Linked DNA regions of Rattus norvegicus. The protein of the gene in region 1 binds, or shares a complex with, the protein of each later gene. Links are inferred from orthologs where the notes say so. Each region holds a gene or a part of one and is shown on either strand. Other genes may lie near its edges.

The links. Proteins that work in one complex are often made in the same cells at the same time.
Region 2: Dhx16 (region 1) and Gpkow share a complex: the UniProt entries of both Homo sapiens proteins name them as parts of the minor spliceosome. The link is inferred for Rattus norvegicus from reciprocal best matches to the Homo sapiens genes DHX16 and GPKOW.
Region 3: Dhx16 (region 1) and Snrpd2 share a complex: the UniProt entries of both Homo sapiens proteins name them as parts of the minor spliceosome. The link is inferred for Rattus norvegicus from reciprocal best matches to the Homo sapiens genes DHX16 and SNRPD2.

Annotation. Positions count from the first base shown.
Region 1 is NC_086038.1:2,877,173-2,880,919, forward strand, and holds the start of Dhx16 (pre-mRNA-splicing factor ATP-dependent RNA helicase DHX16), read right to left. Parts: upstream 2,580-3,747; 5' UTR 2,445-2,579; coding exon 2,238-2,444; intron 886-2,237; coding exon 644-885; intron 539-643; coding exon 373-538; intron 162-372; coding exon 105-161; intron 1-104. UniProt on the Homo sapiens protein: Required for pre-mRNA splicing as a component of the spliceosome. Contributes to pre-mRNA splicing after spliceosome formation and prior to the first transesterification reaction.
Region 2 is NC_086039.1:17,475,966-17,479,712, forward strand, and holds the start of Gpkow (G-patch domain and KOW motifs-containing protein), read right to left. Parts: upstream 2,334-3,747; 5' UTR 2,239-2,333; coding exon 2,069-2,238; intron 950-2,068; coding exon 792-949; intron 689-791; coding exon 564-688; intron 1-563. UniProt on the Homo sapiens protein: RNA-binding protein involved in pre-mRNA splicing. As a component of the minor spliceosome, involved in the splicing of U12-type introns in pre-mRNAs.
Region 3 is NC_086019.1:87,925,384-87,929,130, reverse strand, and holds the start of Snrpd2 (small nuclear ribonucleoprotein Sm D2), read right to left. Parts: upstream 2,723-3,747; 5' UTR 2,649-2,722; coding exon 2,647-2,648; intron 1,358-2,646; coding exon 1,178-1,357; intron 154-1,177; coding exon 1-153. Other genes in the region: Qpctl (glutaminyl-peptide cyclotransferase-like protein), read left to right, coding at 3,347-3,556. UniProt on the Homo sapiens protein: Plays a role in pre-mRNA splicing as a core component of the spliceosomal U1, U2, U4 and U5 small nuclear ribonucleoproteins (snRNPs), the building blocks of the spliceosome.

The DNA.
Region 1 (3,747 bases):
AGCTGGGGACCGAACCCAGGGCCTTGCACTTCCTAGGCAAGCGCTCTACCACTGAGCTAAATCCCCAACCCCCAGATACTGCTTTCTTAACCTGGGGTTCTCACCATGGCTTTCCGGTCTTCCTCAGCCATCTTGAGGCGCTTCTGAGCCTCTTCATAAGCCTAGAAGAAATCATGTAGAGGGATGTGAGGCCAAGGATACCGTTCCTGTCAGGATGACAAGTGCCCTTCAGTGCCCCTCCTCTGTGAAGAACCTCTGTGGATCTCAACCGTGCAGGGAGGGCTTTAGCCAGAGAGCCCACAGGAGCCCTGGTGACAACTCTTGTCTTCCCAGAGAAAACTCTGCAGCCAAATCCAGGTTTACCCAACTCACCTTCTTATCTGACCGCTCCAGAACATTCCGGGTCCGGTCCTTGTCTCGTTGCCGAACCCGCTCTGCAAAGGCATCCCGTTCCTCCAAGTCCTGGAGACGCTCACGTTCTGTTCTCTCCCACTCATCCTCTGAGGCTGGCTTCTCCTCCGTGGGTGATTTACTGCCCCTGAACCCAGCCCAGTGCGTCATCAAAGTGGGGTATCGAGAGGGCTTAGCATCCCACAGCCAAAAGCATGCTCCAATCCCCCCTCTCTCCTTCCTTCTCACTTACCCTGTCTTCCTCTTCCCTGACTCAGAGGCTTCCTCCTCCTCCTCCTCCTCCTCCTGCTGTTTCTTCCTCAGGTGTTTCCGTCTCTTCCGCTTCTTCTGGAGGCTGCTCCCGTCCCTGGCCACTGCTTCCTCTCCGCTCTCGCTGTCCTCCAACAATTTATAAGATCGGTTCTTCTCCAGCAGGGCTCGGGCCTCTCGCTCAGCTGCACGAGCTGGCTTTTCAACCACGGCCTTCCGTGGCACCTGCCAGTAGATATGACAGCTCCTGACCTCCCCGGTACCCTCATTTGCCTACAAAGGGATTACTTTATCTTAAGCCTGTCTCCACCTTTCTCTTCTACATGGTTTGGTCCCATGGTCGCAGCTTCTGAACCTCCTTCCAGGAGCCTATTTAGCAAATGATTACTGAACACTACCCTGTGGTGGAGGGAAGAGGAGAAACACTCACAGGTTATGCTCTCACAGCCACACGCTGGCGGCGTATACACGAAACAGAACCTTTTCCTAATTTTAATGATTTACTTTTGTTTCTGTGTGCGTTGGCGTTCTGCCTGCAATATGTGCTGTGTGAGGGTGTTAGATCTCATGGAACCGGAGTTACGGTTGCAAGCTGCCATGTGAGCACTGGAAATTGAACCTGGGTTCACAGCTAGTGATCTTAATCCCTGAGCCATCTTTCCAGTCCCACGATAGAATTTTTTTTTTTTTAAAGAATTGGTTCTGAGCTTAAGTAGTTTATACTCTATAATCCATTTTCCTTTTTTTTTTTCTTTTTTCTTTTTTTCGGAGCTGGGGACCGAACCCAGGGCCTTGCCCTTGCTAGGCAAGCGCTCTACCGCTGAGCTAAGTCCCCAACCCCCCATTTTCCTTTTAAGATTTATTTTTCATTTATTTATGTGTACAGGTACTTGGACCTGGAGCTGAGATTACTGGTTGTGTGTCACTAGGCCTGGTTGCTAAGAACTGAACTCAAGTCTTCCAGATGCGCAACAAGCGTTTTGTTTTTGTCTGTCTGTCTTTCTGTGTGTCTTAAGGGTTTTTTTTTTTTTTTTTTTGGTTCTTTTTTTCGGAGCTGGGGACCGAACCCAGGGCCTTGCGATTCCTAGGTAAGCGCTCTACCACTGAGCTAAATCCCCAGCCCCGTCTTAAGGGTTCTTAACTGCTGAGCAGTCTCCATCCTATTTCTTAAATGCTAATTCTCATAGTTCTGTTCTTCCCAGTGACTCTTTCCCGGGGCTGGGGATTGAACCCAAGGCTTACAGTGTGCTAGACAAGCATTCTACCAACTGTGCTACATCCTTAGGTCTGGAGTTATGTACTGTAACTAACAAGCGCTCTAGCTTAAAAAATGTATGTAAATCCCTCTCTCTTGAGTCTTCTCCACAGACCTGTACGCCCAGCACCTAGCATGATACCTAAATAACAAAACCAAGGACGGTGGGTCTCTCTGTCATCCCAGTACTAGGGAGGCTCGCTGCAAGTTCGAAGCCAGCCTGTGTGCTATATCGAAAGTTGCAGGCACACTGCGTCTCAAAACAAAAGGATAAGCGTACGGGCCAATTTGGCTGTGAGTGGACTGCCCCGGCGGCACACACCTTGCTCCAGAGCTTCAGCGCGAAGTCCCGCGCCGGCCCGCCGAGGTCCAGGGTCTCTGTGTCACGCAAGCGCTGCACAAACTCCTCGGCGGAGGCGCAGCGCTGCGCCGTGCCGATCAGGAACTGCGCGACGTGCCGCTCGCTCAGCCCCAGCACCGAGTGCAGCTCCTCCTGCACCCACCGCTCCAGTCCCGCCGGCGTCGCCATGGCGACGCGTCTCGCTCTGGGCAAGCAACCGCGGAACGGCCAGGACTGCGGCGGGGCCAGAAGAGGCCTGAGGTGCCACGGCCTCGCACTGGCTGCGGTATAGACACCTCGTCCACAGTGCAAGATTGGGTAGTTCTACACCGTCTCCCAGGACCGCGAAACCCGGAAGGAATCGCATTCTTCCGGCCAGGGCTCGACGGTGGCTGGGCAGGTTCAAATTGCGCAGCCTCTTTCCTGATGCTTCTGGGAAGAGGCTTTCGTGCACAGCCTTGCCCGAGCTCTCTGTCGCCACCTAATGGTATGTGAGCCGGTGCTAATACAAGTCTGTGTTGACTAACTAGTTTCTACAGCCAGGGATAAAAGGAGTTCAAACCAGGTTTAGGAAAACAAGATATATAATAAGGGGCCGGAGAGACAGCTCAGCAAACTCGAGTTCGACTCCCAGCACTCAGATTCTTCACAAACAACCACTTGGGTTAGGACAAACAGTTCCAGGAAGATCTACCACCTCAGGCCTCTTCTGACACCTGTCTCTCTGAAGCTGGAGTTACTTGTGGTTGTGACCTGCCTGACACAGGTGCTGAGAATCAAACACGAGTCTTCTAAGAGAGCAGAAAGTGCTCTTAATCACTGAATCATACCTCCAGCCCTTCTATTTGAAGGGGCAGAGTGGAAGGTTATATATATAAACGTCTTACTTGCAAGTATGTATACCACTCTGAATCCGGGGGAGGGCATTAGATCTCCTGAAAATGTAGTTTTTGAGCCACCATGTGAGTGCTTGGAATTAAAACTAAGTTCTCTTAATTGTAGAGCATCTCTCCAGGCACCATTTAAAAAAAAAACAAAAACAAAAACAAAAACAAAAAAACACGGGGACTCATGTAGCATTAGCTGGCCTTACATGTACTACATAGCTAAAGATTACTTTGAACTCTTTTGTTTGTTTGTTTGTTTGTTTACATCCCCAATGCTGTCCCCTCCCAGTCCCGCTCCTGAAAGAATTCCTCCCCCTATTCGCCTCTGAGAGGGCAGCAATCCCCCAGTGTCCCCCCACCCTGGTGCAACCTTGAACTCTTGACCCTGTTGTTCCTACTTCCCAAGTGTTGGGATTATAGACATGTACCATCCACCCTCGACCGAAATGGGTAATTTATAGACAATCAAAAATAATGAAAGGCAGTGTAAGTAGATTTTATTTCACAGTGACAAGGAGCAAGAGGAATGGATTAGGTCAAAACATTCCACATTTTAAAAAGCAATCCTTGTGGATGTTGCTAACAGCTTAGTACATTCCTCCTGT
Region 2 (3,747 bases), on another chromosome or scaffold:
CTACTCCCTTCCTGCCCTACCTTCACTTCCTAGTCATTTTTGGTCAGGGCAGACAAAGGGGACCCTGTTCTAACCCTGTCTGCTCAAGACTTCCCCTTAGCTCTCACTCCACTCATAGTAAAAGACAAAAGTCTGCTCTGTGGGTCAGAATGCCCTTTCTAATCTGGCCCCCTCTGCCTTCATCTACTGCCCACTCCCTCCCCATTCATTCCAATCCAGTAATAGGTTTCCTTAGTGCTCCTCAAACACTGCAGGCTAAAATCAGAACAAAGAAAAAAGAAAGAGGAAACAGACAAATGTGGTTCCAAACAGTGTACACCCTCATGGCATTTGTATTTCCTGTCCACTTTGTTGTCTACCTCATTCAGATAATCCCAGCATTCACGTACATTTTTAAACACCCTGCTTTCTGTTTTGTTAATGCTTCTAATAAGGGTGGAAGGAGGAAAGGCTAATTGGCAGGGCTTTGGGACATGCACACACACTTTCCCTGCTATGTGCAAGGAGACTAGGCAGACAGGGTAGAAGGAATAGTGTAGGAGGGAGGCAAAGGGACAGCTCACTGTCTCAGCCTGAGGTTCGCTGTATGTTCCTTCCCCAATGGGAGTACATCCTTTCTGGATCATGGGGATAGTGAGCGTGGGGTCAACACCTGCATTCTCCCTCTCCTCCAGAGACTTCTTGGATTCTAAGGAAGAATGGGAGGGATCAATGAGGCCATACCCTATCCTTCCAACTTCTTCCCCTTCTATCTGCACTAGGGCAGAGCAAAGAGGAAGGTTTTCACTCACCCTCAATGAGTTCCTTCACAGCCTGGGACAACACACCATCTGACGTCAACACGGTGCTTGTTTCTGAGGGCTTAGGGTTCTTGGACAGCAGTTGCCTGCGAGAGCCATTCTGGATCAATGGGATAACCAGCTCCTTTGGAGCTTCTGGAGGGTTCACACTGATGTGGATAGAGAAAAAGGGTTGTAGACATATTAGAAAGTAGAAATATCAGCCGGGTAGTGGTAATGCATGCCTTTAATCCCAGCAGCACTCAGGAGGCAGAAGCAGGAGGATCCCTGAGTTCAAGGCCAGCCTGGTCTACATGGAGAGACCCTGTCTTGACACCCCCTCTAAATAAAGTAAAAATATCAAGAAACAAAGAAAATAAACAATGGCCAGAAAGAAACAAACAAACAAAATAAATATCAATGCCTAGCCCTATGGACCATGTTCCACAGGTTACTATTAAAGGTCCACTCATCTTTTTTGAGACATCTCACGATGCATCCCATGCTGGTCTTATAAACTCTCAGTCAACCTGGTACAACTTCCTAGTGCTGGAAATACAACCAATACAAATGTATCATTTCTCTCCGGGGTCCCAGCTTTAAATGTGTCTTGTGCAAATCATTCTTAGGCCTTAAAGCATAATGACCTACAACTCACCACCTTTAGTCTAGCTTCTTAGTTCCAGGCCCATAAACTGCCGTTTAGAAGTCCCCCACTTAGGCCTCTAGGATCTTCCTTTCTTAATTATACTGATGATGGCCTCCCAAAACTTGACTTTGCCTCATTCTTCAAATCGGAGAAGCACCCACCATTTCAGTTGAGACAGGAAGAATCCTGTCATTCTCCCTCCTTTCCCTTTCTTAAAAGGCACACGACTTTTTCTCTGAGGAATTTATATCTCTGATTCTCAAGCCCCATTTCATCCACATAACAAACCTCCCTCTTCTTGCCCTTATTTTAGTAATTTCTTTGTTTTTTTTTTTTTTTAATATAGGCTCTCAAATTGCCCAGGTTGGCGTTCAATTCTTGATCCTCCTGCGCCAGCCTCCCAGGTCTTGACTTACAGGCATTTGCCGCCACTCCTGGTTACCTCCATAAATTTCCCGAAGCTGTTTCAGGCTTTCCAGGCCACTGTCACCAGCATAAATTTCTCTTACTCTGCCCTCCCGCTTAAGCCCATTTCACCGATTTCTAAAACGTGAAAAGACCCGGCGTTTCACCTTACTCTGCCCTCCCGCTTAAGCCCATTTCACCGATTTCTAAGACGTGAAAAGACCCGGCGTTTCACCTCTGCAGCTCCCTCCCTTCCACAGTCGCCAAGAAATCTTTCTTCTCTGGGGCCTGTCCTTCGCTGTCTCCGAGGTCTGCCAGTCGCCTCCGGACAGATGTGCGAGTGAAACCGAAAGAAATCGGAGCTGTGGACGCGGCAGCCGGTGGCGGACTCTCACGGCCCGCCATCTTGGCTCGAGTCCCAGGCGAGCGCTCTGCCTGCTGGGAAGTTTAACTCTAGTACCTTAAGGGCCGCCCAGGAACGCCAGAATCTATCCCAGAATGCAACGCCTCAAGAACAGGTGCCTTGAAGCCGTGGGAAACAGGAATTAGAGCTTGGGAACTCTTTAAACGTCATAGTAAGGTGCCGTACTAAGCATTCCGGGAAATGTAGTTCTTAGTGGTGTAGTCGCGGTGGAAGATTGATTAGGTTATTCCTGGGTATTAAACCGTTAGGAATTCAGTTCTACCCTCTTCCGACATGTACGCACACGATGTACATACAGGCAAAATATTTATATATACAAAACAAAATAAATAAATCTTGTATTTGACAAGCACATAATTTAATGTGCTTTTCCACAATGTGAATCTTACTGATGTAGAAAGTGTCAATAAGGTGAAAAACCAGGATTGTACCTGGGATGTGGTTCAGTTTGCAGTGCTAATAATTTAACTTAGGGCCTCGTCTAGGGAAGCACTGTACCATTAATCTGTATTCCTTTAATTTCTTTTTTTCTCTCCCATTCCCCAGTTTCTTATGCTTTCTTGTAAAGTGCCTTTGTTACACATAATCTCTATGTTGCACTTTTCTAACCCTTTTGAGCTTTTGGATGAGGCAGTGTCTTCTGGTTTTTGGCATGAAGAGCCAGGACCTTCTGGGTTGAAGCCTCTTTGCTTGACTCAGTTGCTTTTTTCCCCCAGCCAGAGCAGCACAACTGTTCATACTTAGCCCCCATATTTTTTGACCAAGATAACATTACAGATTTTCCATAACAGTGTTATAAATTATCCAAAACAGGAGATGAACATTTGTATAATGTTGCTTCTTTTTAATCACTGAGCCACACCCCTATCCCTGGGTGCGATTCTGTTAATTAAGCATTTTTTCCTTCTAGGATCCAGTTTTGATATCTCATACACTGCAATATAATTGTATGCCTCCTTTGTCTTCTGTAGTCTTTAGTGCTAGTTTTTTAGTCTTTGTCTTTACTGATTTTTCTTTTTTTTCTTTTTTTTTTTTTTTCGGAGCTGGGGACCGAACCCAGGGCCTTGCGCTTGCTAGGCAAGCGCTCTACCACTGAGCTAAATCCCCAACCCCGTCTTTACTGATTTTTAAAAATATAGCTCAGTTATTTTGAAGAACATAACGCCAATAAAGCTTGTTGTGTTAACTTTTCGCTATTAGTCTGAGGTTATAAGTTTGGGACAAGAATTTCAGAGGCAGGGCTAGAGAGATGGCTCAGCAGGGGAGGAAGGGGCCTATTGTACTTTTTCCCCATCAGTGATGGTTTGACGAGTTGCTTTGTTTACGAGGACAACAGCTGTTAGCATTTACTCTAAACTCTGTCCCACAGTTACTTGGCAACAGCTAGGTGTGCCAAACTGACTATAAAAGCGGCTGCTTGCCCCCTCCTCTCTCTCTTGCTCTGTTCTCTTGCTCCTGCTCCCCCTCTCTCCTCATTCCTCTCCCTTCCC
Region 3 (3,747 bases), on another chromosome or scaffold:
TTCCGCAGCACCACAATGACTGAGTCCCCGCGCAGGAACATCTTGGAGATGTAGCGGTCCTTGTTGACAGGCTTGGACTTCTTCTTGCCCTTGCCGCTCTTGGGGACCTCAGTCCACATCTCCTTCACATTTTCCAGCACCATGTTGCAGTGCCTGATGGGGTAAAGGGTGGAGGAAAAAGCCAGAGTGAGGGGGACATTCTGAATGTGTGAACCCTCCAGCAGCAGGCATAGGGACGGAGTTCAGGTTCCACAGTGGGGATGGGCAGGCTTCAAGGTGTGATCTCAGCCCCATCTTAAGTGTCCCTTCTGTGCCTCAGTTTCCCCCTTCTTGAAATGGAAACAGTCTACTTCATGGGGCTGATGTGAAGATTGGATGAAAGAAGCACTTAGGACCCCGGTACACAGTAAAGGTCACCAAAATGGCCCTGGCTCTGCAGTTAACTCTAACTCTGAGAGAAGCATTAGCTCCCTCCAAACCTTAAGTTCTGGGGTTAGACATGGTTCCCAACACGTGCACTCCAGTGCCTCATGGCCCTGTCCTCATGCAGGTGGACATGTGCTCACACTTGGATCAGTTCATTCCACGAATGCTTGCTTGAGGACAGTGACGATGAGCAAAGTACAATGCCAGATGTGTAGGACCACGTCACAAGGCAACTTCCATGCTAACTAAAACAAGGCAGGAGGGTATGCTTCGCCCCTGTAATCCTAGCGCTTGGGAGATGGTAGCAAGAGGATCAGAAGCATAAGGTTAGCCTCTGCTACATCTGTAGCCAGCCCAGGCTACATAGTTAAAGACCCTGCCTCAAAACAAACTAGAAAGCAGTAGAAGATATTTGACATTGATGTCTGGCCTACAGAGGAACAAACCAAACATCTTAATTCCTGTCCCTCCTCCTGCCGGGGATCTGATGACTTCTGAAGGTATTAGACATGTCCACAGTACACAGACAGACTCACCCGCAGACAAAACGCCCAAACACATAAGATAAAAAAAAAAAAGCCAAGCACCCCCACTTTCTAATTTTTTGAGCTAGCTGGGTCTTGCCCTGTGACCCTGGCTGGCTCCAACTGACAGTGATCCCCTTGAGTGCTGAGACTAAAGGCACTTTGTCACCTTGCCCACCTTATTACGACAATTCTTCTCAAATGACCTTCCCCAAGACAATGCCCACCTGTCAAAGGCCTTCACCCGGCCCAGGAGCTTCTTGTTGTTTCGACAGTTAATGAGCACTTGCGTGTTGTTTTTGACCGACTGTGTGAGCACCGAGAGGGGACCTGTGTTGAATTCCTCCTCCTCCCGCTTCTGCAGCTCCTCTGGGGTCATCTCACTCTTGGGTTTATTGAGGAGACTCCTGGATAGAGAACCCGGGGGGTGAGACGGGTTCAGGTTGGAAGCATAAGTGACCAAAGCTACATTGTCCAGTGTCTCCCCAGCCTGGCCCCCAAATGCCCTTCCTGGTACAGTCTTCTCTGGAGGCAGGAGAGACATTTCCAAGTTAGCCTGCTCCAGCTCATTAACCAAACCTCGTCCAGCCACTGTTGACCTTGAATTCTCAATTCTCCTGACTCCATCACCCAAGGTCTGAGATTACAGGGGGCTCACCATCATGCCTGGCACCTGATTCTTTCAAACCTCACTCTGTCGTCTTATCTTGTCATCTGCTTCCATGATATGTCCAAAAATTTGGCCATTTCTCTTCCATCCCACCCCACAACAGTGTCTCCCTGTATAAATAGACCTGCCCCTGGAACTCAGACTTGTCTGTCTCTGCCTCCAGGATACTGGGGTTACATCTAGTCTGTGTGTGGCTGAGGACCAAACCCAGGGCCCACAGTAGGTAAGTACTCTGTCCACTAAGCTAAATCCCCAGCCCAAGTATTGGGCTTTCAATGCCCAATACTTCTGTGCTACCTACTGGTGTTATTTCTTTCCTACTCAATTCTCCATTCACACTCCTGATCATCTAAGACATACTGTATGTACTTGTTTATTACTCTATGGCTTTCCTATTGGATTCTTTTTATAAGCCCTGAGAGATTTTTTTTCCTTGGTAGCAAGGACCTTCTATTTACCATGTGTCTAACTTACAGTCTACATAATATCCGCTCAATGAATAAACCATTGTAGTAGCCTGCTACTCTGACAATCTCTAATTAGGTTCAAAAGTCCTAATTTATCCTGGTTAAGTCCCATACGTCTCTATTTACTATTTCTAATAGTACTTCCTTCTCCGCCAAGCTCTTCATCCATTAAGACCACTTCTATATAAAATTACTATTACTTTTGTAAGCGGACACGCTATGAAGCTGGTCAAGGCTGACCACCAACTAGCGATACTCCTGACTCAGCCTCTCTAGGCTTGGGATTCTAGGCATGTGCCATCAGACTCAGTTTTTCCTTTACGGTTCATTTCCGCAAGCCTCGGTACCTAGAAGAGTCTTACACCCATTATGGAATAAAGCTGTCCCCTCTCCGGAACTCAAGAACCGAGGCCCCATGCCCGTTCTCAAATCCCTCAGAAGACATTATTTTTGCCCGAGAAACTCTACCCTCAGCTATGAGCACCCCATTTCGATTGTTATTTAGCTAAACCGTCCCCCTCCATCTTCGTGTCCCCGCCGAAGCCCGTCCCGGCCTCACATGGTGAAGGTTTCGCTAGCAGATCACTCCCGCCTCCAAGCGCGTTGCTTTAGCCTTTGGAGCACAGCAAGAGAAGGGCGGGACTTCCGTCTCCTGCGGCTGACTTCCGTCGACGCCTGCGCAATCACGACTGTGGGCGTGCCCTGTTACCATAGTGACTCTAAGGCTACGCTCTCCTGCAGAAAATGCCTATAGGGAGGATTTGAAGCCTCTGAGGATCACAATAGGTTGTCTGCTCATGCGGAAAATAAAACGGGGTCTGACTGAAATTGTTTTCCCGCCTAACTGTCTAGTTGGGAGAAGGAAAACGCAACCCGGTTTCCAAAATACCCGCCGACAATTTTCTTGAGGGCATGGCTTCAGGCAAACCAATCGGTTCCTTGTTTTAGGGATGGATGCCGCCCCTTTTTCCTTGAACCACAGTTTCTTGATCGACTTCCGTAAGGGGCGTGGCCCCGCGCCGGGGAAGGTTTCGTATATTCGGACACAGCTCATTGCCTGTTTCTCTCCCGTGGGGGCGGGCCTTAAGGTTTCCGCGCTCCCTTTTGGGTGGTGCGGCGCTTAGGAGAGCCAATCGCAATCGATTGGGGGAGGACGCAGTTACTGTGTTTCTTTATTGGCATTTGTAACCTCCGAGAGGCGAATCTTGGCCTAAACTCAAACCACCCTGCGGGGGGATTGGTTTCAGGGCAAAGCTGCCATGAGTCCGGCCAGCCGCGGGCGGTCTCGGCAGCGGCTCGGGGATCGCGGCCTCATGAAACCACCCTCACTTTCCAAGCGCCGTCTTCTGCCGCGGGTGCAGCTCCTGCCCCTGCTGCTGCTGGCGCTGGCCCTGGGCTTGGCTTTTTATATCGTCTGGAATAGCTGGCACCCTGGGGTTGAGGAGGTATCACGGAGCCGGGATCTGCGGGTAAGCCTTGGCTGGGGCCCAGCCAGCGTCATTTCCCTCTTTCCCTTCATATTGAGTCTCGGGTTAGCGTGGCCTTATCGTTTAGCCCTTGCCGCCTGTGCTATTTCTTTATCCATCACTTGAGCGTATGCCCCTTCCCAACAAAATAAGGTTTCAGGCTTGTTTTATGATTAGACCCCTCTGAAGAGGAT